Rattus norvegicus: one gene and its partners. The protein of the gene in region 1 interacts with the protein of each later gene in a pairwise test. Links are inferred from orthologs where the notes say so. Each region holds a gene or a part of one and is shown in the gene's direction. Other genes may lie near its edges.

Region 1 (3,934 bases):
TCTGGGCCACGTGAAGCGTCACGCCCCGCGCTGCTGCAGGGCAGGCGCCGTCGCCGCGGTTGTGTAACTCTGCAGCCGGAGGGGAGGCGACCCGGACGCCTCTGCATCGGAGGGGGCAGAGGAGGGAGGGAACGCCGGGCACCGTGCCCGGTATCTTTCTGTGCTTGACTAGCCAGGGTGGGTGGGGGCAGTGAGGCACCCTGGAAGGCGGGAGGAGATGGGTGCGCGCCAGTCGGGTGCCAGGCCACCCGCAGGCTGCGCCCGGGAGCTGAGCTCCCGGGAGAGTTGGGGGAGGGGAGGGTCCGCACGGCTCACACGGTCCACGGTCAGGTGCGCTCGGCGTGCTCGGCGGCGGCCTCGGCTGCCCTAGCGCCTGGCCACCAGCCCGCTTCCCATGGGGTGACATCCGCCCCGCCCTCGGTCCCTCCCCAAGGCGGGCAATTCCTGGACACTGAGGCTGAGCGTTGGGGGGCTGGGAAGCCAGGACGGAAAGAAACCCCAGCCTCTGGGGAAGGCCAAGGGGGGCCGACAACTCCCTCCGCTGCGCACCGGTTCCTAGGAGCGGGCCAGGCGGGGGAGGAGGAAGAGGGCTGGGCTGGAGCGACCAAGGGGATATTCCTCTCCCGGCTTGAGTCAGACGCGGGCGGAATCCGTCCTCCCCCGTTCCCTCCCAGGAGACGGGAACTTACTTCATTTCCCTGGGGCAGGTTCGCCCACGTTACCAACTCTTCCCCCCGCCCCCCAGCTCCCCAGTTCCTTCCAGCTTCCGTGCCCCCCACCCAGCTGGGCAGGACTCTGGCTGCGCTGCCACCCCCTCTTTCGGGGAAAGGAGGCCGCAGCCGCAGACACCTGGGGCCCGAGGTTTGGGGCGGCGGGGAGGGGGGGCACTTTGCAGCCGCCAGAGCGTTGTCCAACACGTGAGACTCATGTGATGAAGCCGGGGGAGGGCGGGCAGGTCGCTCCTTCCCTCCCCGGCAGCGGCCAGACGTGCTTGGAGTCACAGGGTAGAACACGTAGCTTCTACCCACCCACTCGCTCCCATTTAACCCAGCCCGCAGCCTCTCCTTACTCCTCGGCTCGTCCCCTCCAGCAACCACCGCCCCCCCCCCCGCTCCGCCCTAAGCAACCCCCCCTTTCCCTCCCGCCTCTCCACCCGCCCCACTTCTCATTCACTTGGCTCGCACGGCGCAGACAGCGCAGCGAGCACACACCGCCAGTCTGTGTGCAGAGCGGGAGCCAGAAGCCGTGGGGGACACCCGGTCATGCACGCCCCCAACTGAAGCGACACCTCAAAGCCGCAGCTCCTGGCAGCCCAGCGCATTGCAAGAAGCTCAGGCTAGCTCATAGGAACATACCCCTTGAGACCCTCGGATCCTCCCTTCCAGGGCAGTCCTCTCTCAGACTCTCTGCTAAGTGCAGACAGGAGCGCACAGTGGCCCCTGCTCGCCGCATCATGGAGCGGATCCCCAGCGCGCAACCACCTCCTACCTGCCTGCCCAAAACGCCAGGGCTGGAGCACGGAGACCTGTCAGGGTAAGTGTGCGCTGTGATCCCTTCAAGTCTCCGCTCCTCACCGTGTCTTCCATACCACTCTCAACTTGGGGCATCTCTGGGCATATAGGGGGCTTCTTGCATCTGTAGGACTTCTGCAGCCAGTACGCACTTGGGAGTCACGGCTCTTTCTGGCCTTTCTCCCTGCAGGATGGATTTTGCCCACATGTACCAAGTGTACAAGTCCAGGCGGGGAATAAAACGGAGCGAGGACAGCAAGGTAGGTGCATCCCTGGGGACCCCGTTCCTTAGCCTCTCGCGTGCGCTGAGTTTCCAAGGAAAAGTTTGCTTGTTTGAAGGTTGGCTGGGGGTTTCGGGATGTGATGAGCTTATTGTCACAAGTGAGTGACTTGGGAAAGAAGGGGCAGAGAAGGTGATCCTCGGTGCGTCTCTGCGCCCTCGCAGAATTTTTTTCCCTCTGGTGCTGGGTGGGGAGGAAGGGAGGAAGCTTCGTGTTCCCTTTCTCAGGCACCCACTGCTTCCATTTATTCCTTGCAGGAAACTTACAAATTGCCGCACCGGTTGATTGAGAAAAAGAGACGTGACCGGATTAACGAGTGCATTGCCCAGCTGAAGGATCTCCTACCCGAACATCTCAAACTTACTGTAAGTGAGAACCTGGCTGCGCTCCAACCCAGTTCTTCTGCCCAGAGGGCGGGTGGGGGTCACCCGCCGCCTGCAGGCGTCAACGGGAACTGCAGGCTAGACGGGCGGATCAAAGCTCCTAGTAGTTCTGGTTTGGAGGGAACCCAGACCCAGACCCAGGACTTCCAGGCAGAGGCAGAACCAGAACCATCTGGGGCCTCTTTAAGTTGGCTCCAACACTAGCACAGCTTCCTTTTGGTATTTTTTTTTCTTTCTCACCACCTCGTAGTCTCCCTTAACTTAAAAGGAACAAACCGTGAGATTAAAAAATTATGCCCTTCTCCTTGTCCTCTTACCATCCACGAGAGGACCTACTTTATTTAATGTGTGCCTTTTCTTTTCATCATCATCTTTACTGGTAACCGAAAGCTTTCTGGATTTTCCTTCGGGAAAAGTGTTTGGAAAGGAAGACGAAAAGCCTGCATGACTGGAAGTCCTGAACGGGTGTTTGGGGGGGGGGGGGATGTGTAAAAAAAAAATTCAGCACACTGGGAAAGCCGTTTGGTTGCCAGACACAGTAGACATCCCTCCCTGAGTTGACACCACAGCAGGGAAATGTTATCTCCGGAGTCCCCTGAGTTAAGGTCAGGGCAGCTGCTGGAGAAATATATCTGTCAGCTCACTCCCGAGACTGTAACAGCTACCAAAATGCCTCCAAAGATAGGCAACACATGTTTGACTTTTTTTAAGCCTTTGATCGTTATATGGATATGTTAACACATCTGCAAACTTTAAATTTAGTGGGGCAGGAAAAGCTCTTCCTATCTCGTTGTCTACACCCAATTCTCATAACAAATAGTGTGTGTCAGAAGGGACTTCACTGACCTCACAGGTGACGGAAGCTCCCTTTTTTTTGTTTCCTCAGACTTTGGGTCACTTGGAGAAAGCAGTGGTTCTCGAGCTGACGCTGAAGCACGTGAAAGCATTGACAAACCTAATTGATCAGCAGCAGCAGAAAATCATGGCCCTGCAGAGCGGTTTACAAGCTGGTGAGTGCCTGGCCTGATTAGTGTCTCAGCACAGATCGAGCCCGGAGGGCTGGCTGTGGCTCCTGACTCTGAGCTACCATCTCCTTTGCACATTCACTGGGGGAGATGCTTTTCTGATTCTTTCCTAAAAGGTCATACTTTCCCATACGGAATGCTGCTGTGCACCACCTGGAATGAGTACTTATTAGCCCAGTGATGAAATGTTCCTGTGACATTTTGGCCCGAGAGTGTCTCGGTTCTGGGAGACTTCCCCATCCCCCTTTAAAATGCCAAGGCATCGATAATTTGCATTGTGGGTGTTTTTACAGTTGGTCTGCTGAGCCCTCATTCATGGGTGAGCAGAACACGGGTCTGCCCCTAGTGTTTTCCTGTCCCTTTGCTTCCTTGTCTTTGGATGTGGGATGCAGTCTTGGCAGGATGACAGCAGGCTTTTTTTTTTTTTTTTTTTTTTTTTCTTGCCTGCATTTCATTGTGGTTCCCTGAATAGCCACTAGGTATCTTGGCAAATTGCACAATCCAATGAAACCACTGGTTTCATCATTCATTTATCCTGAGTTTCAGAGAATCAGGGGCACCTTCTAACCTCCCCCTTCTCCCTTCTAGATCATACAGTACAGACCAGGGGGAATCCTAACACCTACCCCTCAGGCATTCTTCTGTTCCGTCCAAGGCTAGTACAAGAATCACAAACAAAAACCAAACCGAGCCAGCATGCCTGCCAGTTTTCCTACTAAAAATAGAAAGTTGAT
Region 2 (4,154 bases), on another chromosome or scaffold:
GGAAACTAGAAAAGTCAAATCCAGTCATAGATTCACAGACTCTGATGGAGCTAAGCTTGAGCTGAGGGCCTGGGCTGAAACCCCGGTTCCTATGAAAGTGGGTCCAGAGTGTACAGCCAGCCTAAGGAGAGACAGGAGGAGCAAGCCTGGAAGTTACAGTGTTGCTGATTGGAGCATTATAGTGTAGCAGACTCTGGAGCACAGAAAGCAACACCAAGTTACAGTGTGGCAGACTCTGGAACACAGGAAGCAACGCACACCAAGTTACAGTGTGGCAGATTCTGGAGCATAGGAAATAACACACACCAAGTTACAGTGTGGCAGACTCTGGAGCATAGGAAATAACACACACCAAGTTACAGTGTGGCAGACTCTGGAGCATAGGAAATAACACACACCAAGTTACTGTGTGGCAGAGTCTGGAGCATAGGAAATAACACACACTAAGTTACAGTGTGGCAGACTCTGGAGCACAGCAAGTAACACCAAGTTACTGGAGCATGCATGGGAAGTAACACCAAGTTACCTTGTAGTAAACTCTGGAGCACAGGAAGTAACACCAAGAATGAATAGATTGGCTGGTGGCTATGACTGAATGGGAACTAGAGTCAGCAGACGTTAGTGTGAATGGTAGAGTTCTCCACAAAGAAAAATGAATTTGTTATCTAAAGTAAAAGCAGAAATTTTATTGGAAAAGAAAAGGATAGCAGTCAAATGCTACTTGGTGGAAGAGTATGTCAATGTAAATTGTGTAATAGCATAAATCCTGATGATATTTTACTGATATTCTATTACATGATTATGGAAGGCTACAGGAAGGACTCAGAATATAAGAGACTGAGATCCTCTGTCATAAAGGAAATTAATTGTTGGTATTTCATCTTGTCAAAAAATAAAGTATATGCAATTAACTTTTTTTCTCTTAAAACTTTAGTGGAAGAACGAAGTTTTGTTGAAAAGCACAGATGGCCATCAAACATGTACTTGAAGCAGCTGGCAGAATACAGGAAATATATCCACTCCCGGAAATGTCGCTGTTTAGTCATGTGACCTGAGCTTTTGCATACTTACACTTTTTTATTATTATGAAGAATGGGTACTTCTGGATTCCAGTAAAATTCTTATAACTAAAATCAATGTTTTTTAAAAATCACTATATAGCTTCTTACTAGTTACCTTTTAAAGACTATGGTGGTCTTAAAAGGGAACAAAAGCTACCACAGACTTAATTAATGCTTCATCTAGAATATAAAACTGTTGGACATTGGGTCTCCTTTAAGTTTCCCTATTGCTTTAATAACATCAAGACCTCTCCTAGTTAAAAGATATTTAATTTAAAAAATCTAGGATAAATACAAAAATTTCATCATGTCTGAGTGATTGCTCTGCTAAAATAAGGAGCATTTAAAAGCCAAGCGGAACCATGGAATTCAGAGGAGCTCTAACCAGTGCAGCATGAAATTGTAGAAATAGAAATTTGCCCATGTCTTTGATAGTCATGTGTCATCTGGCTTCCAGTCCATTAAGAGTATTTGGATCAATATGATAGCCCCATCTGTACCATCCACCCACATCTGCTTGTCAATCAGGCTGCAAACCTAAGTAGGCTGGTAGTTATCTCTGTGTAACCTTCTAGAGTTTATCGACTTCCAAACTTAGAAGGGTCTGGCATTTGGTTTAGTGCTCTGCTAGTACAGTTGTTAAATTCTTAAAAATGTTTGATGAAGGGCCCATGTTTTCACTTTGCACCGGTTCCCCAAAATTGTGTGTATTTCCTAACAAGAAAAAAATGCTGAGATACTGTTTTCTTTTCCTTTTTTTTTGTTTTTGTTTTTGTTTTTGTTTTGTTTTGTTTTGTTTTTTCATTTTTTGTTTGCTTTGTTTTGTTTTTTGTTTTCATTTTTTGTTTGTTTTGTTTTGTTTTTTCAGAGGGGGTTTCTCTGTGTAACATCCCTAGCTGTTCTGGAACTTGCTTTATAGACCAGGCTGGCCTCAAATTCACAAAGTTCTGCTGGGATAAAGGATGTGTGCCACCATGCCTAGCTTAAAATGTTTTTTTTTTCTTGCTCAAACCTTCTCTCTATGGAAGCAGAAACGTTGCTGATAGCCAGGAAAGGACAGTAGCTTTTGGCCAGAAGAGCAGAGTGGAGACTCCCATCTTTGGGAAAGGACATATGCCCATGCGCCTCCACAAAGATCTTTCCTGGCAATAAGAAATGCTGAAATGCTTTTTGTTGGTTTTGAAACACTCCCCCAGTTATAGCTGTACCCCAGAAAAGCAAATACTTTCTTGATCAATATGTAAAGTCAGGAAGTTGTTAAGACTGATAGAGTAACCTGACTATAATACACAGAGTGATAAGCCACAGGAAAAGATGTCTTCTAAAGACTTGGGCCTAAAAACTTAAATATCCTTTCTTTTAACTGTTAAGAATAAGATGCCAATTGCATGAATTGAGTTCTTTTCAAGGACTGATAGACTATTTGGTATGAAGTAGCAAAGCCACCTGGGAAGGTAAAAAAGGATGTAAATCAAAGACATCCTTTTTTGTCGATGTAGAGACAATGGTGTCTGGGATTGAAGGCAGAGTTAGTATCACTCATAGCATATATTTGCAGAAATGATTCTGCAAGATGCTCAACGGCATGGAAAAACATATTACTCTTTTTTGTTAATATCATGGTCATGGGATATATTTTTCTAATTTCTAGTGATTTTTAGTATGCATATTTTTCAAACTTTTCAAAAATTTGATTCAATAATCTTATCCTGTAGTGTTAGGATTCCATACAGAAAGCCCTATTATACATACCAAACTATCAGAATAAAGGGGAAAGAATCCCAAGAGAGCTTATTTTAATTTTGCTGTGTCAATGAAGATTACTGAAATGAATTTTGTCCTTTATATTTTAATCACTTGAGTGAATCAACATTGGCAAATCCCATTTGGTGGCTTAGCATTAGAAAGAACAGCTGATGCCAGAAGTTCCTCTGCTTTTTCAGATCAGTGGTGGCCTTTGATACTCTAAAGTAATTATGTTCACCCTCTGTACTAATGACATTTAAAATTCTAAAATTTTATGATATTGACATGAAAAATAGGAGCTGAGAAAAAAACATTTTCTTGGAAATATTATTTTAACATTTAGGTGGATCATAACTAATTTTACTAGGGTGTTTTTCCTGAGTAGGAGTTGAGTTTGGAACTGGTAGTCTTGCATGTTAAACATAAAGTGTGACTGAGACAGCCATGAGTCAGAATATAGATGAATTCTTAAATGTTTGAATACAAAGGCCTCGGTATTGTTACTCAACAATTCCAATCCACTCAGTTGGAAGTAATAGGAGATTTTGAATCTTTATAAATGATCTTGTGTAAATTACTGCTGGTTGTAAGGGTTGTTTCCCAATCAAAGGTTATTTCTAGACAGTGATATGCTTGTTGCAATTTCTTGCTTCTATTGGCCAAGCATTTTACTTAGAAAGGATACTATGTAGTTGAACTAAGGCTACTTCTAGTCTGGGCTTGCATCTTGTTGTGCATTCCTTGTATGCTGTTGACCACATCCCTGTTCCTTCTGCAGAGGACTAGATTTCTAACAGAACATTGGCCTAGTAGCTGAAACCCACCCCTGTGCAAGCCAGAATGGAGCTTCATATTGAGTAGTGGAAGGCGGAGAAATAAGATGGATTTCCAAACTGGCCAAACTTTTTAACTGTAATTTTACAAATGATACTACACTGATATAGCCAATTCGATTTAAAATGTCTTCAAAAATTACTGTATTTTATTTAAAGCATCTGTTTACTGCAACTTTTAATCAGATTTTGCAAAGGGTATGTATGTATTTTAATATAGCCTGACCTGAATTTATATGTTTTTAGCTTTAGTATTTAACCTTTTATAACAAATAAACCATTTTTTTAAAAAAAACAAGTTCAATGGAGTGTTAATTCTTTCACTCTGAATGTTTGTTGCTGAAATGATTTTGGGATATTAAGTTTCTCAAGCACAATTGCATTTTATAAACAGTTTCCCTTATGTATAAAATCCTGAGTATTGCTAGTATTGTAGATGCCTCATATAAGTAAGATGAGATAAGGAGATGATGTTACTTTTCATACCTGTGTAAGGGATAAAATAATCCCCCAG
Region 3 (3,935 bases), on another chromosome or scaffold:
TCTCTGCATATACTGTCTTGTGTCCCTTGCCAGACCTCTCTATTTTTCTTTACGGTGCTGCAAATCGAACTTAGGGCTTCAAAGATGTTAAGCATGTGCACAACCACTAAGGTACGTCAACCAACTCTCAATCAGAGTAACTACTACTAAAAGAGGGCCTTGGCAAGTGCCAAAGAACAGGAAGCCACAAGAGCTGGTGACAATTGCAGCTGGGAGCCTCAGTTCCCTGCTTGGCAAGATGAAAGTGCAATGTTTACCTCAGAAAGCTTAAAACATTATATGGCACAGTACTGTCATACCTCAGACATTTGCTGGAAAAAATGTTAATTTCCCTTCCTTTTACTTTAGTGATTGATAATCAGTAATATGTATTAAAACCAGAATCAGAACCACAGAACTCACAGAAACGATTCTAGCTTCTATACAACACAATCTGACACTATTTTAATTACTGGGATTGGAATGTTACCCCTGCTCCCAAAGGGAAGGATGAATCCAACGACTCCAAATCAGATCAGCTCAATTTGCTCCAAAGAAAAGCCACTGTCCCCCAATTTTACATATTATTCCACCCTCACCTCACCCCATTCTTCTGAGATTCCATCCCTTGAATCCAGCAATTTCCTTCCCTTGGATTCAGCTCTGCCCTTGCAACTTGGAGAAGTTTCTAGGTTCCAACACCTTTCAGTACACTCCCCACTGGTAGGCAAAGGGGCAGTTAAAACTCACCAGGCTAGTCCCACAGCTTTCATGGGGTTCTTGCCCCTCTTTCTGGGAATGTATTCTAGCTCAGGGGAGAGGGGCTCAGGCTCCTCCTTGCATTCTGGTGAGCTGTGGCTCTGCAGTGCTCTGGTCCTGTTCTGGGAAGCCTTGTTAGCTGTCGCTCCAGAGAGGATCCCTGTGAATAAAAGTACCGCAGGTCAGTATGGGGGATGAGGGAGGGTTAGAGGGGCTGAGATTTGAGGAAGGGGAGTGACTGCAGTTTGGAGTAATAAGTGCTGTGAAGAATCTAAAGAGAAATGGGAAAATCGCCATCGGGTGACACCTTTGGAAGCTACTTCCACGTCACTGCGGACTCCTCACCCTGGTGCCAAGGCAGTGAGCTTCGCTGCTGTTCTACTCAGAAGACAGGTTGGGAAGGACTGCAGAGGAACTCACCGGAGACATACGAATGAAGGAAATTCGGGGAACTGTTTTAAAACTGCAGGACCTTAGCTATCCTAAAGGATAACTAACTCCATCCCGTTGAAGAGGAAGCTGAAGCCCGGAGAGACGAGCTGCTTCGCACAAGGTCAAACCGCTAATTACTCAGTGCTAGAACTCAAACCTCCAGAAGCCTAGGGCTCTTTCCTCTGCACTGCGGTGAGTGTGAAACCCCTGGGACGCGGGAGTCGAAAGATGTCTCTGGTACTCTCTCTAGCAATAAGACCCTAGACATGCCGCGCGACCTAAACGCAGGGGTTGGACTGGATGACCTCTAGAGCATCTTTTCACCCCCAGACTCTCTTAAGATCATAAAGAGAGATGTGGGCAGCAATTGGCAGCCTGACTTCCTGCTGTCGCGCTGGGTAGGATGTAAGGGAAACGGAATCTTTTAAAACCCTGCCCTCCCCAGGGTCCCTCTCCTTACCCCGGAGGACGCGGGCATTTCTCGCCCCCCGGCCCTTCAGCGCCGTAGCAGCTACCACCGCCGCCATGTTCGGGTCCCACCCCCCTTCACTGCGCTCCCCGTCGGGAATTGTAGTTTGCGTAAGGGGCCTCCCCCGCGCCTTCCGTCCTGCCTACAGAGTCGAAACTACATTTCCCAGAAGTCCGCATAGCGGGCCCGGGAGAACTACTCCTCCCAGGAGACGCCGGAGGCGCGCACGCTCGCTTGTTTCCCTCCAGCCGGGGGCGGAGTCGTGTAGGGTGGAGCTTGGACTCTCCCGCCACGCCCCGGCCTGGTCATCCTAGTTCTGCCTTATGATTGGCGTCTCTGTTAGTCCACCTCTGTTGCTATTGGCCCGGATGCCGTCGCTCTTTCGGCTGGGAGTCACCTACGCCTACTTCCTCCCGGGAGGAGGGGCTCGAGTTCCGCGTCGTCGCGCAGAGCTGACTCTGGGAGGCGTTTGGGCCCAGAGAAGTGGATCGGTAGGTTTCGCCGCATGGAGTCCGAATCGGAGAGCGGAGCGGCCGCTGACACCCCGCCTCTGGAGACTCTGAGCTTTCACGGAGATGAAGAGATCATTGAGGTGGTAGAGCTGGATCCAGGCCCGCCGGACCCGGGTGAGAACTGACGCTCCTGAGGCCACGGGACAGGAGGCACTCACCCCTGGCCTCTGACCCCTGCTTCTCCCCAGTTCCCCCTCCCCCCATCCCTACCGGTCGTTCCTACCGACATTTCTCTCCCAGACCTCCTTCCCTACCCCCCACATTTAGTTTCTAGGCCTGGCTGGGTGGGGGTTCCCTGACGCCTCCCCTGGCCCTTCCCCTCACACACCCCCTTCCCATCATGCCCTCTGTCCTCTCTTCCTACACGGTCGCTGGCCAACACCGGGTCTTCAGACCTAGCCTCTCTCTCCCTCCCCGCCCCCCAAGTGCTCTCTTCCTGCTCGGTACGTGTGGGACAACACCTTAACCCTTGGCCACATGACCCACCCTAGCGTCACCTTTTTCATTCTTCAACCCTTACCCCATTCCTTCTCTATCTTTTCGAGCTCCATCTTTTAACGCTTCTCCCAAAGCAGATGATCTGGCCCAGGAGATGGAAGACGTGGACTTTGAGGAAGAGGAGGAAGAAGAAGAGGGCAATGACGAGGGCTGGGTCCTGGAACCCCAAGAAGGGGTGGTCGGTAGCATGGAAGGCCCCGATGACAGTGAGGTCACCTTTGCATTGCACTCAGGTAGGCCTTTGAAGGGATCACCTCAGATCAGTGCAGATGGGCCTTTGAGTATGGCCCATGGCCCTAGGGAGGTTATTATGAGAGACAAAAGTGAAAGCCACCTACTTTGGCCTGCAGGATATTCAAAGGAAGGGCCAAAAAGGCACTGGAGTTAAGTGAGACCCCTGAGTTCAAATCCTACCTCTGCTGTTTAGCAGTCTGTTACCTTAGTTAGCTTTCTGAATCTTGGTGTTCTTTAAAAAAAAAAAAAAAAGTTATCTTGGATGAAAGTGAATGGGAGTAACCCAAGTGGAAATTAAAGGCAGTTTACACTCGAAAAGAAGCATTACCAATAACCTCAGATGCTAGCCTCGTGAATTGTAGCCTCGTGAATTGCTCATAACTTAATTCCTACTCAGCCTGGTATGGCCTGTGCTGTCAGCTGTGACCATAGAGCCACCTCTTGGCTTGCACCTCAGAGTGCAGACTGAGGGGAACAGAACAGCAGTGGGATATGCTCTGGAGGAGGACTTGGAGCTTTGTGGGCTTGGGAAAGATTTCTCTTAACAGTCTGATGCTCCAGACAAGAACTGGATGCAGCCTTCCCAGGAGAGAATAACTGTGGCTTTGGGGAAAGGGAATGTGCTTCCTGAAGGTTCTGAAAGGCCGAACTCTAGGTGAGAGCCCTTTCTCATGGACTGTGTCTTGGGACAGCATCTGTGTTTTGTGTGAGCCTGGACCCCAAAACCAACACCTTGGCAGTGACGGGGGGTGAAGACGACAAAGCCTTTGTGTGGAGGCTCAGCGACGGGGAGCTCCTCTTTGAGTGTGCAGGTGAGAGGCTGGGGTTGTTGTGTTCCTTTGGACATCTTGGCGGGTGACTCATGTGAACACCCAGCAGCTGTTTTCTAGCCTCTGTCTTGTACTGGGTCCAGGGACCCGCAGTAGAAGTTTGGTAGGCATTCGGACAGGAAACGCTAATGGGCCAAGGGAGGCTGGCTAAGATGAGCACGGTGCTGGTGCAGGAGTAGGCAGCGGCCCAGAGAAAACAGGCTCTGGTTGCTTCATAGGGAG
Region 4 (4,300 bases), on another chromosome or scaffold:
CCGGTGACAAGGGAGGGACAATCTTGGCAAACTCTGGATGTTGGCAGTATGGGGTGCCTAGCTGAGATTCTCAGTGTGCCCCCCCCAGGCCCAAGGGCTGGCTTTTTGATCATCCATGAGCAGTCCATTAAGGGGCTCCTGCAGAGGAAAAATGAAAGTGTCCAGGGAGCATGCAGTTAAGGGGAGCAGGACCCCACAGATAGCGACTCTCTCTCTCTCTCTCTCTCTCTCTCTCTCTCTCTCTCTCTCTCTCTCTCTCTCTGTGTGTGTGTGTGTGTGTGTGTGTGTGTGTGTGTGTGTGTGTGTGTGTGTGTGTGTGTGTACCGGCCCTGATCCTCCAAGGATCAGAGTTGGAACTGCACCTCTCTGAGATCATTGGTCGTAGCAGGTGCACCCTCTGCTGGCGGCTTCAGGGAATGCTCCTCCTGGCTCAGTGCCTTGAGCTGGCAAGGACAGCTAATTCAAAGAGCCACACCGTGTCGAGTGGAGCAGGGAAGCATATGGTAAGATGAGCTGACCGGAAGAGCTGAGGGAGGCAGGATGAGGTGTGAGTGGGAAGGAAAGGGGAAAAACAGAAGTGCGTGAGGGACAGAGAGATTGCAGGTGCTGAAGGCCCCAGGGCTGGCATGGTTGGAGCCCCGTTGAGCATAACATACATGGAGACGACTGCATGAGTTAGCACTGTCCGACTGAATAGTTAGTTACCTTGCCAGTGTCCCTGAGGCCTTCACCTGGGCATCCAGCAGCCGGGTCCTAACATCTGGACTGGATGTTGAACTAGAAACCACATGTGTTTCTCAGCTCCTGTCACCGCTGTGTTGGTCTCCTTCTGGGGGCTGCATGATGCACCCCACCCCCAAACACCTACGGTGACATTTTATATAGACCCATAGTTCTCTCTTTGGTTGATGGTATTGAGGTTTTTCTGCTCTGGAGACTGTGAAAACTGTTTCTAGAGACCTTCCTGTTCTCCTGGTACCTGACTGGGGTCCCTCAAGTAATGGAGCAGAGCCTCAGTTTCCTCCTCTGTAAAATGGACAGCTGCACTCACCTGACAGGTACCCTGCGGGTTGTAGAAGCTGCCTCCCTAGGTATGTGGCTGTAAGTTATAGGTTTCCTGACCAGGAAGGACCCTCAGAGGCATGGGCAAACTGACCTCTGAGGAACAGAAGGTGGTGACTGGTCCTCAGCCAGCTGGAGACAGAGCAGGGATTATAGTTAGACCCCAGGCTTAGCCCATGCTCTCCCTATAGCCTGAGATGGCTACTTGTAATTCTTCCTACGTCCTCAGTACCACCGATGACGCCAGCCCTCAGCAGGATTGGGTCAGGGCCTGACTACCAAGCCCTGCTGGCATCATACTGCCTGGGGTAACATGGGAGGCAGGGCCAGGGGGATTAGAATCTCTGAGCCATCACATGCTGTCAGGGGGAATGCGGGCTACAGCTTCCTCGCAGGCAGGAGTCTCAGGTTCTCCTCATTCCTGCACCCAGTAACAGCCCCAGTGTGACCAGCTCTGTGGTGGGGACACCTGGACTCCTTCTTACAGTTCTGGTAAGTGGACCCCATCCCTGGCTCTATGTATGTATGTATGTATGTATGTATGTATGTATGTATGTATGTATGTGTGTATGCATGTATTTGTGTATATATGTATGTGTATGCACATGTGTATGTGTGCATGTTTATATGTGTATGTTAGTGTATATATGTATGTGTGTATATGTGTTTATGTATGTGTGTGTGTGTGTGTGTGTGTGTGTGTGTGTGTGAGTGGAGGCCAGAGGTTAGCTTTGGGTGTCATTCTCTGGGAACTGCAGGAACTGTCTACTTCATCTCTTGGGGCAAGGTCTCTCACTGGTCTGAAGCTCACTAAGTGGGCTGGGTTGGCTAGGGGGGCCAGCAAGTCCCAGGGATTTGCCCAACCCTGTGTCTCAGGTGCCAGGACACAGATGCTGGGTGATGGGAGCTGGTTTTTTCACGTTCTGAGGCTCCTGCTTAGGTCCTTGTGCTTGAGCCATCGCCATCGCCCATTTAAAAAGATTCCTTTCCAGTCACTTTATGTGCACGTGCGGTGCACACATGTGGAAGCCAGAGGACTGCTGTGGGAGTCTGTTCTCTCCTTTTATCATGTGGGTCCCTGGGATCAAACTCAGGTTCTCAGGCTTGGTGGAAAGTCGCTTTACTTGCTGAGCGGCCTCACCTGAACTCCTCAGCCCCTTTTGAAGGCTGAGGGATGGAAGACATACTCTAAGGATCACCGCTTTTTAGGGTGTCCTAAGAAAGAGGCTATTGCACTGCCACGTTCTATGTGCCTAAGCTGACGGGACAGGCATGTCGCCCTGAGTGTCCTCCAAACCTGAGCCTCCTGACCTCAGACTCTCCAGCCTTAGGCTCTTTAACCGTCTTATTCCCCCATCTCCACAGCATGACCTAGTCTGACGTCAGGGCTCACATTAATTAAAGAGCTTTTTCTCCTGGTCTGAGACAATGTAAAAAGCTCTCAGCCTGGGGGAGCATAGATGGCCCAGAGATTAACAGCGTGTCTGAGTTCCGCTTCTGACCTGAGCTCAGTTCCCAGCAGCCATACTGGGGAGCTCACAACCACCTGGAGCTCCAGCTCCAGGAGATGCATCGCCTCTGGGCTCTGGAGGCTCGTGCACGCAGCTACACACAGCTACACAGGCACATACATTTCCTTCAAAAAACAAAAACTGGACAAAAACTCTTGGCCATACTGTCTCACTCAGAAGACAAGACGTCTCCCTCTGGGTGAGGCAAGTCGCAGAGCTGGCAGTAGCTGCATGACTGGTGGTGTGGCGGGGTTGGTGGGGACGGGGAGCTGGGAGCCTGCCCACCCCACAGACTCAGAAGAAGAGGCTACAGGTTCATGCTCCTTGCTCTACTGCGGTCTTGGGGTATGATGCACACATGTGGTTATGGTGCCCACAGTCTCCCAAGGCTGGAGGACACGTAGAGTCTGGAGCTTTGACCAGTTGCTTGAAGGGACTTCTAGCCCATGAGTGACAGCGAGGAAATCATGCGAACGTCTCAAGCTCCTGTAATTGGCCTTGAGGTCCAGGCACCTGGGGACTGGCTCTACCCCAAGAGACGCCTGACATGCATTCTTGCAATGGAGGCCAGACTCTCTCTCTCTCTCTTCTCTGACAGGTGCTAAGGGACCACTTCCAAAGCTGGGGAACCCCAGGGAGGGGTCAGTGGCCAGATACCCATGTTGAGCATCCACCCCCTGAAACCTGAGGCCCTGCATCTGCCTCTTGGGACCTCAGAGTTCCTAGGCTGCCAGCGGCGCCACACACTCCCTGCCAGTGAGTTCCGCTGCCTCACGCCGGAGGATGCCACCAGTGCGTTTGAGATTGAGCGCGAAGGTGAGTGGCGGTTGGGCGGGTGCTCTGAGCCAGTGTCATCTTCCCAGGCTTCCCAAGGAGTCAAATTTGAGCTCTGTCTGTCTGTCTGTCTGTCTCTCTCACACACACACAGATACACACACACATATACACACATAGAGATGCACACACACAGATACACACACACAGAGATGCACACACAGAAACACACACAGATACACACACACAGATACACACACATATACACACACAGATACACACACATAAATACACATATACATACACACACAGATACACAGAGACACACACAGAGATACATATACACACACAGATACACACACAGACACACACACAGAGATATACACAGATACACACACAGAGATATACACACACAGATACACACACACAGAGATACACACACATAGATACACACACAGAGATATACACACACACAGATACACACAGAGATATATACACACACAGATACACACACACAGATACACACACAAACACACACACAGATAACACACACACGGATACATATACACACACACAGATACATACACAGATACACATACACACATACACAGATACACACACAGATACACAGATACACACACAGATACACAGATACACACACAGATACACACACACAAACACACACACACAGACACACGCACGCACGCACGCACGCACGCTCGCTCGCATGCACACGGAGCGTGTGTGAGGAGAGAAGTGGGAGGGAGGTGTGCTCTAGAGTAGGAAGCAACAGCCCAGAGTCACACGTCTTTCTAGATGGGCGGGGCGGGGATGAGCTGAGTGACCACGTGTGTGCACAAACAACAGACAAGCACACAGCAAGCAGCCATTCATCCTTTCCTTCTGCTGCAGCCTTTATCTCAGTCTCGGGTACCTGCCCCCTCCACTTGGAT
Region 5 (3,040 bases), about 38 Mb from region 1:
GTACTCTGTCAGCATGCTAGGAAGGAGCCCTTCTAGGAAAAGAAAATATAGTGCAGCCCCAAGAAGGACATTAAAGTTATATTTCCCAGCTTCCTTTCATGTTCCCCAGAGAACTGGAGGTGCTCCAGATGGTACCTGGCTCAGAGTACACCTGTGGCCCTCTCTGTCCATGAAGCATTGACTTGGTGGTCCAGGTCAGATTCCCAACTCTCCTGACCTCACTGTGTAGAACATTAGTCAGCTCTATGTATTTCAATACCCCATGGCAAGCTGCTGGTGCCTTACATCACTAGTGGGAAGTCTAGACAGACTTGATGCATAAGAGTACTGGCTTTGGTGTCATGTCTGTCTGCTGTGACAGAATACCCAGAGAGAAGCAGTTTAGAAGGGAAAGGATTTACTTTAGCTTACAATTCCAGGTTACAGTCCAATCATTGCTGGGAAGCTGAAGTCACAGCACACCCACAGGAATGAATGAATGTAAGCAAGCTTGCCCTCACTTTGTCCTCTCCACTCATACAAGATACAGGATCCTCAGCTCATGGGATGGTGCTATCCACAGGCCCTCAAGACAGTCACCCCAAACATACATATAGCCTCAACTGAGACTCTTATCCCAAGTGATGCTAGATTATGTCAAGGTGACAATGGTAACCACCAGAGTATGTTAGGAGTTATCCTGTGTTCTACAGATGTGAGGACGGTTGGGATAATGAGTCAGGATTACTTTCTGTGCCTCTGCAGGAAACTCTACCACCATAACAATGCCCAACTGGGCATGGCTGTGATGCGGGCAGGGCTGACCAACTGGCATGCTGGTCACATTGAAGTAGGGCACGGGATGATCTGCAAAGCCTATGCTATTCTCCTGGTGACCCATGGACCCTCCCACCCTATCACCAAAGACTTAGAGGTAAGTAGCATCCTGGAGGTGGGCAGTCACTGTCTTGTTAGAAGATTTCTTAAGATGGGAGGCCTGGTTCATCTGGACTTTGCCTTGTGGAAGTCTGTAGACTACTACTAGACCAGAAAGAAACTTAGAATGCTTTAGCCCACCCCCTTGATTAATATGAAGAAACAGAAGCCCCATAGAGGGTAGTTCTCTGTTTATAGCCATCTGGTGGTTTGATGGTAAGGTCAGAGTTGGCTAATTTTATATCTAGTATATTAAGCTTGTCAATGGCAGAGTCTCTGTCAGTCTTACCACAGTTTCCTGGGCCTCTGAACACCTAACTTTTTCTGAATATTCCCAGAATGGATATGTGGGACAACAAGGACTACATTGCATGTTGTACACTATAATCTTCCCAACCTGCTGTAAGGTACAGAGAAATCTTGCCATCTCTTGGATGGTGAAACAGGGGGCTGAAGGGGTCAAGTCACTTTGTTGACATCCTACAACCAGAGAGTTTAGAATCCAGGATTCAGATCCAGGTACCCAGCTAATAGTGAGAAGAAGCACTTTCTGCTGAAATCAACCCTTTGGCTACTGTTTCATGCGTCCAGCTTCCTCTCTCTATGATGCTAGCCATACTGCTACACCATCTGCTCATAATAGTGTGCATGCGTACACGCACACATGCTCGCGCACACACACACACACACACACACACACACACACACACACACACACACACACGTTTCTGAAGGGATAGAGTTGAATTTTACTGACCAGGGGGTCATTTATCCAAAGATCCCTCATAACTGTGTCTTGGGAACTTCTTTTTATCAGTGCTGTATCTATCTGTGTCCCACAGGCCATGCGGATGCAGACAGAGATGGAGCTGCGTATGTTCCGCCAAAATGAATTCATGTACCACAAAATGCGAGAGGCTGCCCTGAACAACCAGCCCATGCAGGTCATGGCTGAGCCCAGCAACGAGCCAGCCCCAGCTCTGTTCCATAAGAAGCAATGAGGACCTTGTTGGAGGGTGGGGGCATTGTGGCTGCGGAGCTGAGGAAATTACTACTCTGTGTCCCCCACCGCCATTTTGGTTCAATTCAACTCAGCTTAGTTCTCTCTCATTTCAGACCAACTCTTTCTCTATGTGTCGGGTGCTAGATTCCACCGTCTATTTAACAAGGAAGCCCCAAATATACTTCGGCTAGAAAGAAAAATGTAAACAAACAAGGTACAGCATAATAGTAAATGCCACGGTGCACTCTATGGAGAGGGGTTCAGAGGAGGTGAGTGTGTGTGAGTGAGTGAGTGTGTGTGAGTGAGTGTGTGTGTGTGTGTGTGTGTGTGTGTGTGTGTGTGTGTAAAACACCTGAGCTAAGAGTGGCAGGTACCTAGAATCTCAGGTGGCTGCTTGTTTCTTTGTGCAGGGGTCTCTGGGGCTGCTGGTTTCATCTACAGTTACGAACATTTAGGGTTCTGCAGACTGGGATGGGTGATGATGACCTGTATCCTGAGGCTGGGACTGTTCTTGGCCCTTTGAGATCTACTCAATGGTGCCTAGAAAGAGGTAGGGATCTTGGGATCCTGTGGTCTTAATTTCCTAATCCAAGTTGAAGCATACTTTTAGAATAACTCTAGAACACACAGAGAAGGAATTTTTCCCTTCCTGGTCCTACCCACCAAGTCTGTATCTCCTTGTGATGTTGAAGGAAAGCTGAGGTTTTCCTGGCCATTGACTTGTAGGAGTAGGGAAGGCTTTTCAGGGTAAAGCTGACGGTGTGTGTGCCTGGCAATGACGGACCCTCAGAAGCAGTGTGTAGGGGTTTTGATACTCAGCAGTCTGCCTCAGCCTAGGCTTCATCATTGGCCTGATGAGGCTCTACCCATCATATCGAGTGAATGACAGTTCCTCTGCTTGATGCCTTTATCCTGTCTGTGCTCTGGGGGCTTCTGCCCTTAGGAGAAGGCAGTCCACACGACCTAGGAACTCATCATAAGTGTGACCAGTTTGTTCTCCTTTGCTTAGAGGCTGACTTCTGACTGAGAGATGAAGGTCCCAGAATGGCCTTTTAGTTTCTGGAATTCCAACTTTCTCACCAACATGGAGGGAGACCATGAAGTAAATTCCTTTAGTAGAAG
Region 6 (2,421 bases), on another chromosome or scaffold:
GTGACATGCTAAGAGGCGCCACAGATAGCCATTTGTCCCTCTGCCTTTTGGAATTTGGGAAGAGGGAGCTTCCTTTGGACCCAACAATAGGAAAATAGAGAACAAGCTTAGAACAGTTGTTCTTGTCATATTTAAGAGTTTTTCTAATATAATACTTGAGGCTTTATTTCTTTTCTTTATACCTCACACTGTGCTTGTGTCTTCCTCTCTGAAGGCTCATTCCATGTGCCTCCCTGCCACCCCATCATGGCCCTTCCCCTCATGTCCTGCCACTTGATTGGCTGCTTTTCTGCATCACTCTTCTGAAGTGTGCTGTGGGTGGCCATCTTCTGTGTGCTGGACAGTGTTGCTGAGCTTCTAAAAATGACATCATCGTGTTTGTGTACTTGTAGAACATTCTGTAACAAATCTTTTTGGTTGTCATATTAGACGAAAAGCAAAGATTCGGTTGCGAGCGGTCTGGCTTTGATCTTGAAGAATCTGATGGCCCAGATGAGGATGATAATGACAACGAAGAGGATGATGACGATAGCCAGGCAGAGTCCGGCCTCTCAGCAGCACCGTCAGTCACAGCGAGCCCACAGCATCTCCCATCCAGAAGCGGCCTTCAGGATCCTGGGAGTGTAGAGGAGGACCTTAGAGTTTCCAGCTGCTTCTCAGGGGTACACACTGACCCAATGGACATTCTGCCTAGAGCATTACTCACCAAGATGACTGTTCTGAGCACGGTGCAGATTGACCCTAACAGGACAGACTTAACAGCAAAGGCCAGGCAGAATACTGGGAAAGATGAGCTTGAACTGGCTCCTCCTGTAGACACTCCCATCTCCCCAGAAGTTACCCCCAGGTCTCCCGGCCATCAGATGTCTGTGCATTACTCTGAATCTGATGCTCTGAGAAGCCCTGCAGCTGGAAACACTGTTGCTTCAATACAGGTAGATGAGTGTGTGGGAGTAGGGGTGGGGAATTCTCTGTTTTTTGTTTTCTCTTCTTATTCTATAAGGAAAACCTAATAGATTAAAGAAAATCATTTATGACCATATGAGTGTGTACCTTTTTGTTGTTAATTGATGACAGAATTCATTTATGTCTGTTAAAGCCTTGTAAATTATCTTGACAAAACTCCACATAGTATATTATAACCTGTGGTGCTGCTTTAAAAAATATACTTCTTTATTAATTGTGGAGTTTTTTTAAATCACAATATAACATGTATTTACCAGTTTTAAACCCACATCCTGAGACGTAAGGACCCAGTGGTTGACTCTTGTGTTTCCACTAATGTGGATATGATGAGCTCATAGCACATTTTCCAGATTTTGTGCTTTGCTAGTAGGAGTCATAACAAATTTAGTGGGACACAAAAATGATTCAAGATTTCATGTTGTTTGCATGAGCAAACTGATAGAATATCTTAGGAAAGTTTCCTTCCGGGGGAGCTCAGTGCCAGACACCCAGCTCCGGAGAAGTTTGAGAAGTTTACTGTATGCTTTTCCATGGCTGGCTCCTAACCAACAAATAATTTTGTCTCTCTCTCTCTCTGACAATTCTTTCCCTTCCCCTGTGTGTTGAACAAGGCGGTAGGGCTTATTTCCTAATGGGAAAAGATGTTTCCCACTGGAGAAAAATAAAAGTTTAGAATTTTTTTTTCTTTTCTTTTTTTCGGAGCTGGGGACCGAACCCAGGGCCTTGCGCTTGCTAGGCAAGCGCTCTACCACTAAGCTAAATCTCCAACCCCCAAAGGTTTAGAATTTTACATACTAAATCTAAACTTAATTTTTCTGTTAAGTATAGAAATTAAATTATAATGTGAACTAATACAGCTCCCTAACATATATAGAAATGTATGTATATGCAAGGAAAAAGCCAGTATGTAGATAAAAGTCATGGATGAAAGGGAGGACAGGTAAGATTCATCCTCCCCAGCATTTTAAAAATCGTGTTCACCTGTGTCCTAAGCTGCCGAATGCATCTTAGATATGGAAGCCACATAACTACCAATGCCTGAAAATGTAGCCGTCAGTAGACAGCTTACGAATGAGTTAGCAATTAATGGACAACTGCAGACCTTTGTCTTAGTAACAGCTCTTCATTTCAGAAGTGAATAATATCTTGGTTAATTTTTTCCCAGTTGAGTTGGCACAGCTAATTAATATGGTATTTCTCAACGTCTCCTTGTCTCTAAAAGAAAGAGGTGAAGCTGGTGCCCAAAAAATATCATCAACATAAAAATAGTCATGTTCATCTATCAGTATAAAGTAATGCCTAGAAAACTGGTTTGCGGATTGCAAAACACTATATCATTTTTTTCCTAGTATTGGTAATAGGAAAGAAATTTAAAATGAAGCTATTTTTGTTATTGAAAATTTCTTTTTAAAAAAATCAAAGCAATTTTTTTAGCAAGCCAACAACTGTCAAATA
Region 7 (4,300 bases), on another chromosome or scaffold:
GATTAACTCCCTCTATTGCACACTGCAAGGAGGTGACGAGATATTCTGACATTGTTACATGCCCAAATAGATCTGGAGTCTACGAGGCAAATGAAGTTGCTCGAGACGGTAGAGCTAGGAAAGGGACACCCCAGCTTTCACTTTGCATACTCCTCAACACCTTTCATCTCTGAAAGCGAGGGTGGTGGGAGGGAATTCATCTTTGTTTAATATATAGCAGATTCATGTATCACAGCTGGGACACACATGTAAAAGCCATGTGAAATCCCTTCACACATGAACACAGCACCAGCAAGTCTGCACCTACTCTGTGGCCCCCAAGATAGCTAACACATTTCTAGATCACAAGTCACAGTGCAATCCAGCAAGACAACTAGGGATTGTGTATGAGGTATTTTAAATTCAGCACTGCCTCCTACTGGCTGCAAAGTGGCTGACTAGCGTGCGTTCGGGTTCCTCATGGTTACTTGGCTTCCTGGGTCCGGGATTAGCCCCTGCTTCAGAGATGTGGAAGGACTGAGTGCAATAACCCACAAAACTAATTTACTCAGACTTCTGCTATTATTTCCTTTTAGCTATGAATTGCCTCTTCAAACTGAAATCGAGTGAAAAAAGGGGAGGAAAGTGAGTCAAATATTTTGAGACAGTTTCGTGTAGCCCAAGCTCGCCTAAAACTTGCTATACAGCTGAGCTCCCGATTTTCCTATACCCACCTCTGAGTTCCAGGACCACTGAGATTTGCTACCACATACTGATTATTCTTAGGTAATTTTTGATCAGCTGCCCACATGAACCTGCTACCTTTGAGTGGGTTTTTTGCTGTCATTTTTCTTGTTGTTGTTCTTGTTTCTTTGTTTGGTTTGGTTTTTGTACATAACTGTGGGGGGATGAGTATAAGAATGAAAATGTATGTGCAATGTCGAAGGGTGATCTCCAGGTATCTTCCTTTATTGCTTTTTACTTACGTAAAGAGAGGGTCTTTCACTGAACCACTGAATGTGGAACTTTCTGTTCGGCTATGCTGGCTCACAGGTGAGACCCAGGATCCTCCTGTCTCCGTCTTCCCAGTGCTGGGAATACACGTGTATGCCACATTGCTTGACTTCATACACGGGCATTGGAGATCCAAACTTGGGTCCTCATACATATATGATAGTCCATAAGTTTACATAACAATCAGTTGCAATTTAGAACTTAAACTTAGGCTCCGGTGATGGTTTATATAGGTAAAGATTTAAGTTTTCTAAGTTGAAATTGATTGTCCTGTAAGCTTACACATTTCTATTCATTATTCTCTCTAAAAATCTCATGTAGACCCAGCCCCTTGCAATTTGGCCCAGTTCCTCAGGACAAATGTCTTTTCTTTTTCCCTGATTCCCTGTCACTCCATCTCCCTCGGTCTGAGAACTAAATTAATGAAGAGTATTTGGTTAGTCATGTTGGGCGAGCTGCTCCCAAAATAGCTCCTTCCATTTTGGTAGCTCCGACCCTGCAGCTGCCGCGTCCCTTCCTTGTCTGTGAAGAAAACTTTCACATTAAGAGTTGCTGATGCAGGATTTTCTTTCCTTTCCCCTCTCCGCCGCCTGTGGATGAGCACTTGGCTCCTGACAGAAGCGATTTGGCTCTCGGCTTTGTAGTTGAGAAGAAGTTGGGTCTATAGATTTCTTTCCCCCTCTAACTCTCTATTGATGTGTTCAGCCTTGGAGGGAATAAAGCCTCCATTTAAAGCATGTTGGCGTCGCAAGGAGTCCTTCTGCATTCTTATGGCGTGCCTATGGTTGTGCCTGCTGCCCCCTTCTTCCCGGGACTGATGCAGGTAATTCATGGCTTTTGCCAGCAAGCAACTTAACTCCAGAGTGCTCTGAGTAATAATTGGAATTTTTATGGTTGAGAAAGCAAACACTTTTAATACAGGAAGAGAAAAAAGGCAGCCCTCGTGTAGTCAAAGGAAAGACAGTAGGAAATCAAAAAGATGGATCACCTTAATCTGGCTATTGACATCTCTCATGGATGAATAAATGGTGTAGTTGAGCTGTATTTGCTTGTATTGATCTGGGTGCTGTTTAACATTCATGCCTCTGCTTCGGGAGGTTGACCAGGGGGCAAAAGATTTGCTCTCTTCCCCAGCTTTCTGAGGGACTGGGTCTCCCAGAGCAGATCATGAGGCTCAGTAACTTATCATGTTGTGGCTTGCTTAAAGGCTTTAACCCCGGAAACCGAAGGGCAGGAACTACAGTGCTACGGAGGACACCCCACACAGGTTGTCTGTTTGCAGAGAGGCTCCCCCTTCTGAATCTGAGAGGTGACCCACAAACAAGAGAGAACATTGAGAATGGTTTCTTTAGGAAGTTCAGGGGTGACTCTGGAAACCCCATGCCAACTGTTCTCGGCAGCCAGGGAGAAGTTGGAATGCCTGTTGTTTTGACTGCTAAGGCTATTATTCTGTGTGCCGAGAGGTTCATGTGCTAGCGAGAAATTGGGACCTGTTTCTTTGCCTTATTGTACCGCCGTGCTGTCACTCAAACCCGTTGCTTCTGGGTGTATGCCTGCAGTTCTCTGGAAAGCCGACATCCACTTGTGATAGAAGTGGGTCATTGTAGGAAGCAAGTGGCTATTTGTTGCTGTTCTTTGGAAATAACCAGCCCTGGGTAATAAATTCTAAATCTCCTTTCTGTGGGAAAGGAAAATTAAATATATGCAGGACACTTTAGCTTCTGTCCTGTCGTACTACCCCTACCCAACACTCTCTGTTTGAGAGTTCTACAAGACCAATTCATTAATGACGACTTCTGCGGAGGATCCCAAACAAATATTCTTCTTGTTCTGTGACTGTGACTGTGACTGTGACTGTGACTGTGACTGTGACTGTGACTGTGACTGTGACTTTTTATTAACTGTCAGAAGCTGGGTGGTGGAATCTATCCAGCAGTTAGTCCAGACAACACCAGAACTGCCATTGACCCTGGATGTATGCTATTGCTACACTTCTATATTATAGGTAAATAGGCCAGGCAGAGAATAGTCCTGACAACAAGGAAAAGAATTTGTGGCCAGATGGTGACATGAGACTTGGGACGTGAGGGTGAAGCAGAGTTACAGTGCTTTTTGCTTCTGTTGGAAATTTGGGGTGAAGGTCAAAGGCTGGAGTTTTGTCGGCCCCTGTGCTGCCCTATCCGATAAATAATTACAAGCAAATCGCTCATTTCACTCCATGCTGATTGATGCTGAAATTGCTTTTGAAAGTTCTCATAAGTTCCTGTTATAGATTAAGTGCTGGTGCAGGAGAATAACGGTACCCACCGAAATGGGTGAATGTAATCAGGTTTAATGGACTCGAGAGCTTGTTGGGAATTAAATAACTATCGATTTGCTGGGATGTTTCTGTCATTACAAAATGCCACTCTGAACGTATTACCCCAATGATAGATGAGAAGACGCCAGAGCCAACAGAGAAGCTGGGAAGGCACTATTTCTTCCTCTTTGGCAGAATGTTCGAGAAACATAACTGGTTAGTTTGGAATGGAACAAGTTATTTTACTTGCAAATGTTAACCTGATCCATTCTCATTTGTTTCCCAAATGAAAACTTCTGAACTAGTGACCTACAAGCTCTTCTGAGTGTGTCAGTGAGGAGCCTCTGATGAGCTACTGGGACCCACTCCACTGCAAGGCTGTGCACATGGAGGTGCTAGCCGTCTTGCTGTTTGTGGAGGCCACACCACTTGACTCGAAGAAACTACAACACCTCCCATTGCAGTTCTGTTCATAAGAAAAGGATGTGGTGTGATAGAAAGGGGTAGGAAAGCCTAGCTCTCCTTTCACCTTCCACTTCCTGCCCTAGCTACCTTGGCACTTAGCCTTAGGGAGTTTCACCCAAGTCAAGAATAAAGACCCTTCTGCCAGGATTCAAATTTCTTTAGAAACTTAGTAATGTCAGCAAGACAACTAAACTACCGGGAGTGTGGACTCGTCCTTGCTACGACCCCTTGTGCTTGTATATTTGGGAACAGCATCAGTGGTTATGTGCAGGGGCCTCTGGCAAGCTGCTTGAGGTACTGTTCACAATTTTACAGTCTTCCCAAACACAACAGTCAACAGTTCTGTGGCCAAAGATATTCTGTTTTGAATTGATATCTGAGACACTTTTGAAATGTGGGCCGGCATGGCTCATTTTTTGTGCAGTTAAAGAAAAAATAATTTGCATCTTTAAGTTTTAAGAGAGCACCAGACTCATGCTGCAGTCAGTGCTTACAGATGCACATTTAGTTAGGTCCCTCTCATGGACTCTTCTTTAAAGTCAG

The links.
Region 2: the proteins of Bhlhe40 (region 1) and Rhobtb3 interact in binary tests that used the Homo sapiens proteins (3 or more experiments, as listed by UniProt). The two-hybrid records come from large-scale screens. The link is inferred for Rattus norvegicus from reciprocal best matches to the Homo sapiens genes BHLHE40 and RHOBTB3.
Region 3: the proteins of Bhlhe40 (region 1) and Aamp interact in a two-hybrid assay, tested with the Homo sapiens proteins (2 studies listed by BioGRID and IntAct). The link is inferred for Rattus norvegicus from reciprocal best matches to the Homo sapiens genes BHLHE40 and AAMP.
Region 4: the proteins of Bhlhe40 (region 1) and Aanat interact in binary tests that used the Homo sapiens proteins (3 or more experiments, as listed by UniProt). The two-hybrid records come from large-scale screens. The link is inferred for Rattus norvegicus from reciprocal best matches to the Homo sapiens genes BHLHE40 and AANAT.
Region 5: the proteins of Bhlhe40 (region 1) and Smyd1 interact in binary tests that used the Homo sapiens proteins (3 or more experiments, as listed by UniProt). The link is inferred for Rattus norvegicus from reciprocal best matches to the Homo sapiens genes BHLHE40 and SMYD1.
Region 6: the proteins of Bhlhe40 (region 1) and Hivep1 interact in a two-hybrid assay, tested with the Homo sapiens proteins (2 studies listed by BioGRID and IntAct). The link is inferred for Rattus norvegicus from reciprocal best matches to the Homo sapiens genes BHLHE40 and HIVEP1.
Region 7: the proteins of Bhlhe40 (region 1) and Rbfox1 interact in binary tests that used the Homo sapiens proteins (3 or more experiments, as listed by UniProt). The link is inferred for Rattus norvegicus from reciprocal best matches to the Homo sapiens genes BHLHE40 and RBFOX1.

The regions. Positions count from the first base shown.
Region 1 is NC_086022.1:143,173,316-143,177,249, forward strand, and holds the start of Bhlhe40 (class E basic helix-loop-helix protein 40), read left to right. Parts: upstream 1-1,134; 5' UTR 1,135-1,453; coding exon 1,454-1,533; intron 1,534-1,701; coding exon 1,702-1,771; intron 1,772-2,049; coding exon 2,050-2,157; intron 2,158-3,061; coding exon 3,062-3,185; intron 3,186-3,934. UniProt on the Homo sapiens protein: Transcriptional repressor involved in the regulation of the circadian rhythm by negatively regulating the activity of the clock genes and clock-controlled genes.
Region 2 is NC_086020.1:7,094,753-7,098,906, reverse strand, and holds the end of Rhobtb3 (rho-related BTB domain-containing protein 3), read left to right. Parts: intron 1-934; coding exon 935-1,050; 3' UTR 1,051-3,654; downstream 3,655-4,154. UniProt on the Homo sapiens protein: Rab9-regulated ATPase required for endosome to Golgi transport. Involved in transport vesicle docking at the Golgi complex, possibly by participating in release M6PRBP1/TIP47 from vesicles to permit their efficient docking and fusion at the Golgi.
Region 3 is NC_086027.1:83,315,526-83,319,460, reverse strand, and holds the start of Aamp (angio-associated migratory cell protein), read left to right. Parts: upstream 1-1,135; 5' UTR 1,136-1,630; coding exon of another isoform or gene 1,631-1,697; 5' UTR 1,698-2,144; coding exon 2,145-2,265; intron 2,266-2,458; exon of another isoform or gene 2,459-2,491; coding exon of another isoform or gene 2,492-2,594; intron 2,595-2,723; coding exon of another isoform or gene 2,724-2,726; coding exon 2,727-2,882; intron 2,883-3,575; coding exon 3,576-3,695; intron 3,696-3,935. Other genes in the region: probable hydrolase PNKD, read right to left, coding at 730-898, 1,631-1,697. UniProt on the Homo sapiens protein: Plays a role in angiogenesis and cell migration. In smooth muscle cell migration, may act through the RhoA pathway.
Region 4 is NC_086028.1:102,324,823-102,329,122, forward strand, and holds the start of Aanat (serotonin N-acetyltransferase), read left to right. Parts: upstream 1-1,500; 5' UTR 1,501-1,554; exon of another isoform or gene 1,555-3,171; 5' UTR 3,172-3,232; coding exon 3,233-3,389; intron 3,390-4,259; coding exon 4,260-4,300. UniProt on the Homo sapiens protein: Controls the night/day rhythm of melatonin production in the pineal gland. Catalyzes the N-acetylation of serotonin into N-acetylserotonin, the penultimate step in the synthesis of melatonin.
Region 5 is NC_086022.1:104,760,194-104,763,233, reverse strand, and holds the end of Smyd1 (histone-lysine N-methyltransferase SMYD1), read left to right. Parts: intron 1-744; coding exon 745-913; intron 914-1,757; coding exon 1,758-1,916; 3' UTR 1,917-2,540; downstream 2,541-3,040. UniProt on the Homo sapiens protein: Methylates histone H3 at 'Lys-4' (H3K4me), seems able to perform both mono-, di-, and trimethylation. Acts as a transcriptional repressor. Essential for cardiomyocyte differentiation and cardiac morphogenesis.
Region 6 is NC_086035.1:22,792,776-22,795,196, reverse strand, and holds part of Hivep1 (zinc finger protein 40), read left to right. Parts: intron 1-429; coding exon 430-935; intron 936-2,421.
Region 7 is NC_086028.1:8,996,592-9,000,891, reverse strand, and holds the start of Rbfox1 (RNA binding protein fox-1 homolog 1), read left to right. Parts: upstream 1-1,500; 5' UTR 1,501-1,729; coding exon 1,730-1,816; intron 1,817-4,300. UniProt on the Homo sapiens protein: RNA-binding protein that regulates alternative splicing events by binding to 5'-UGCAUGU-3' elements. Regulates alternative splicing of tissue-specific exons and of differentially spliced exons during erythropoiesis.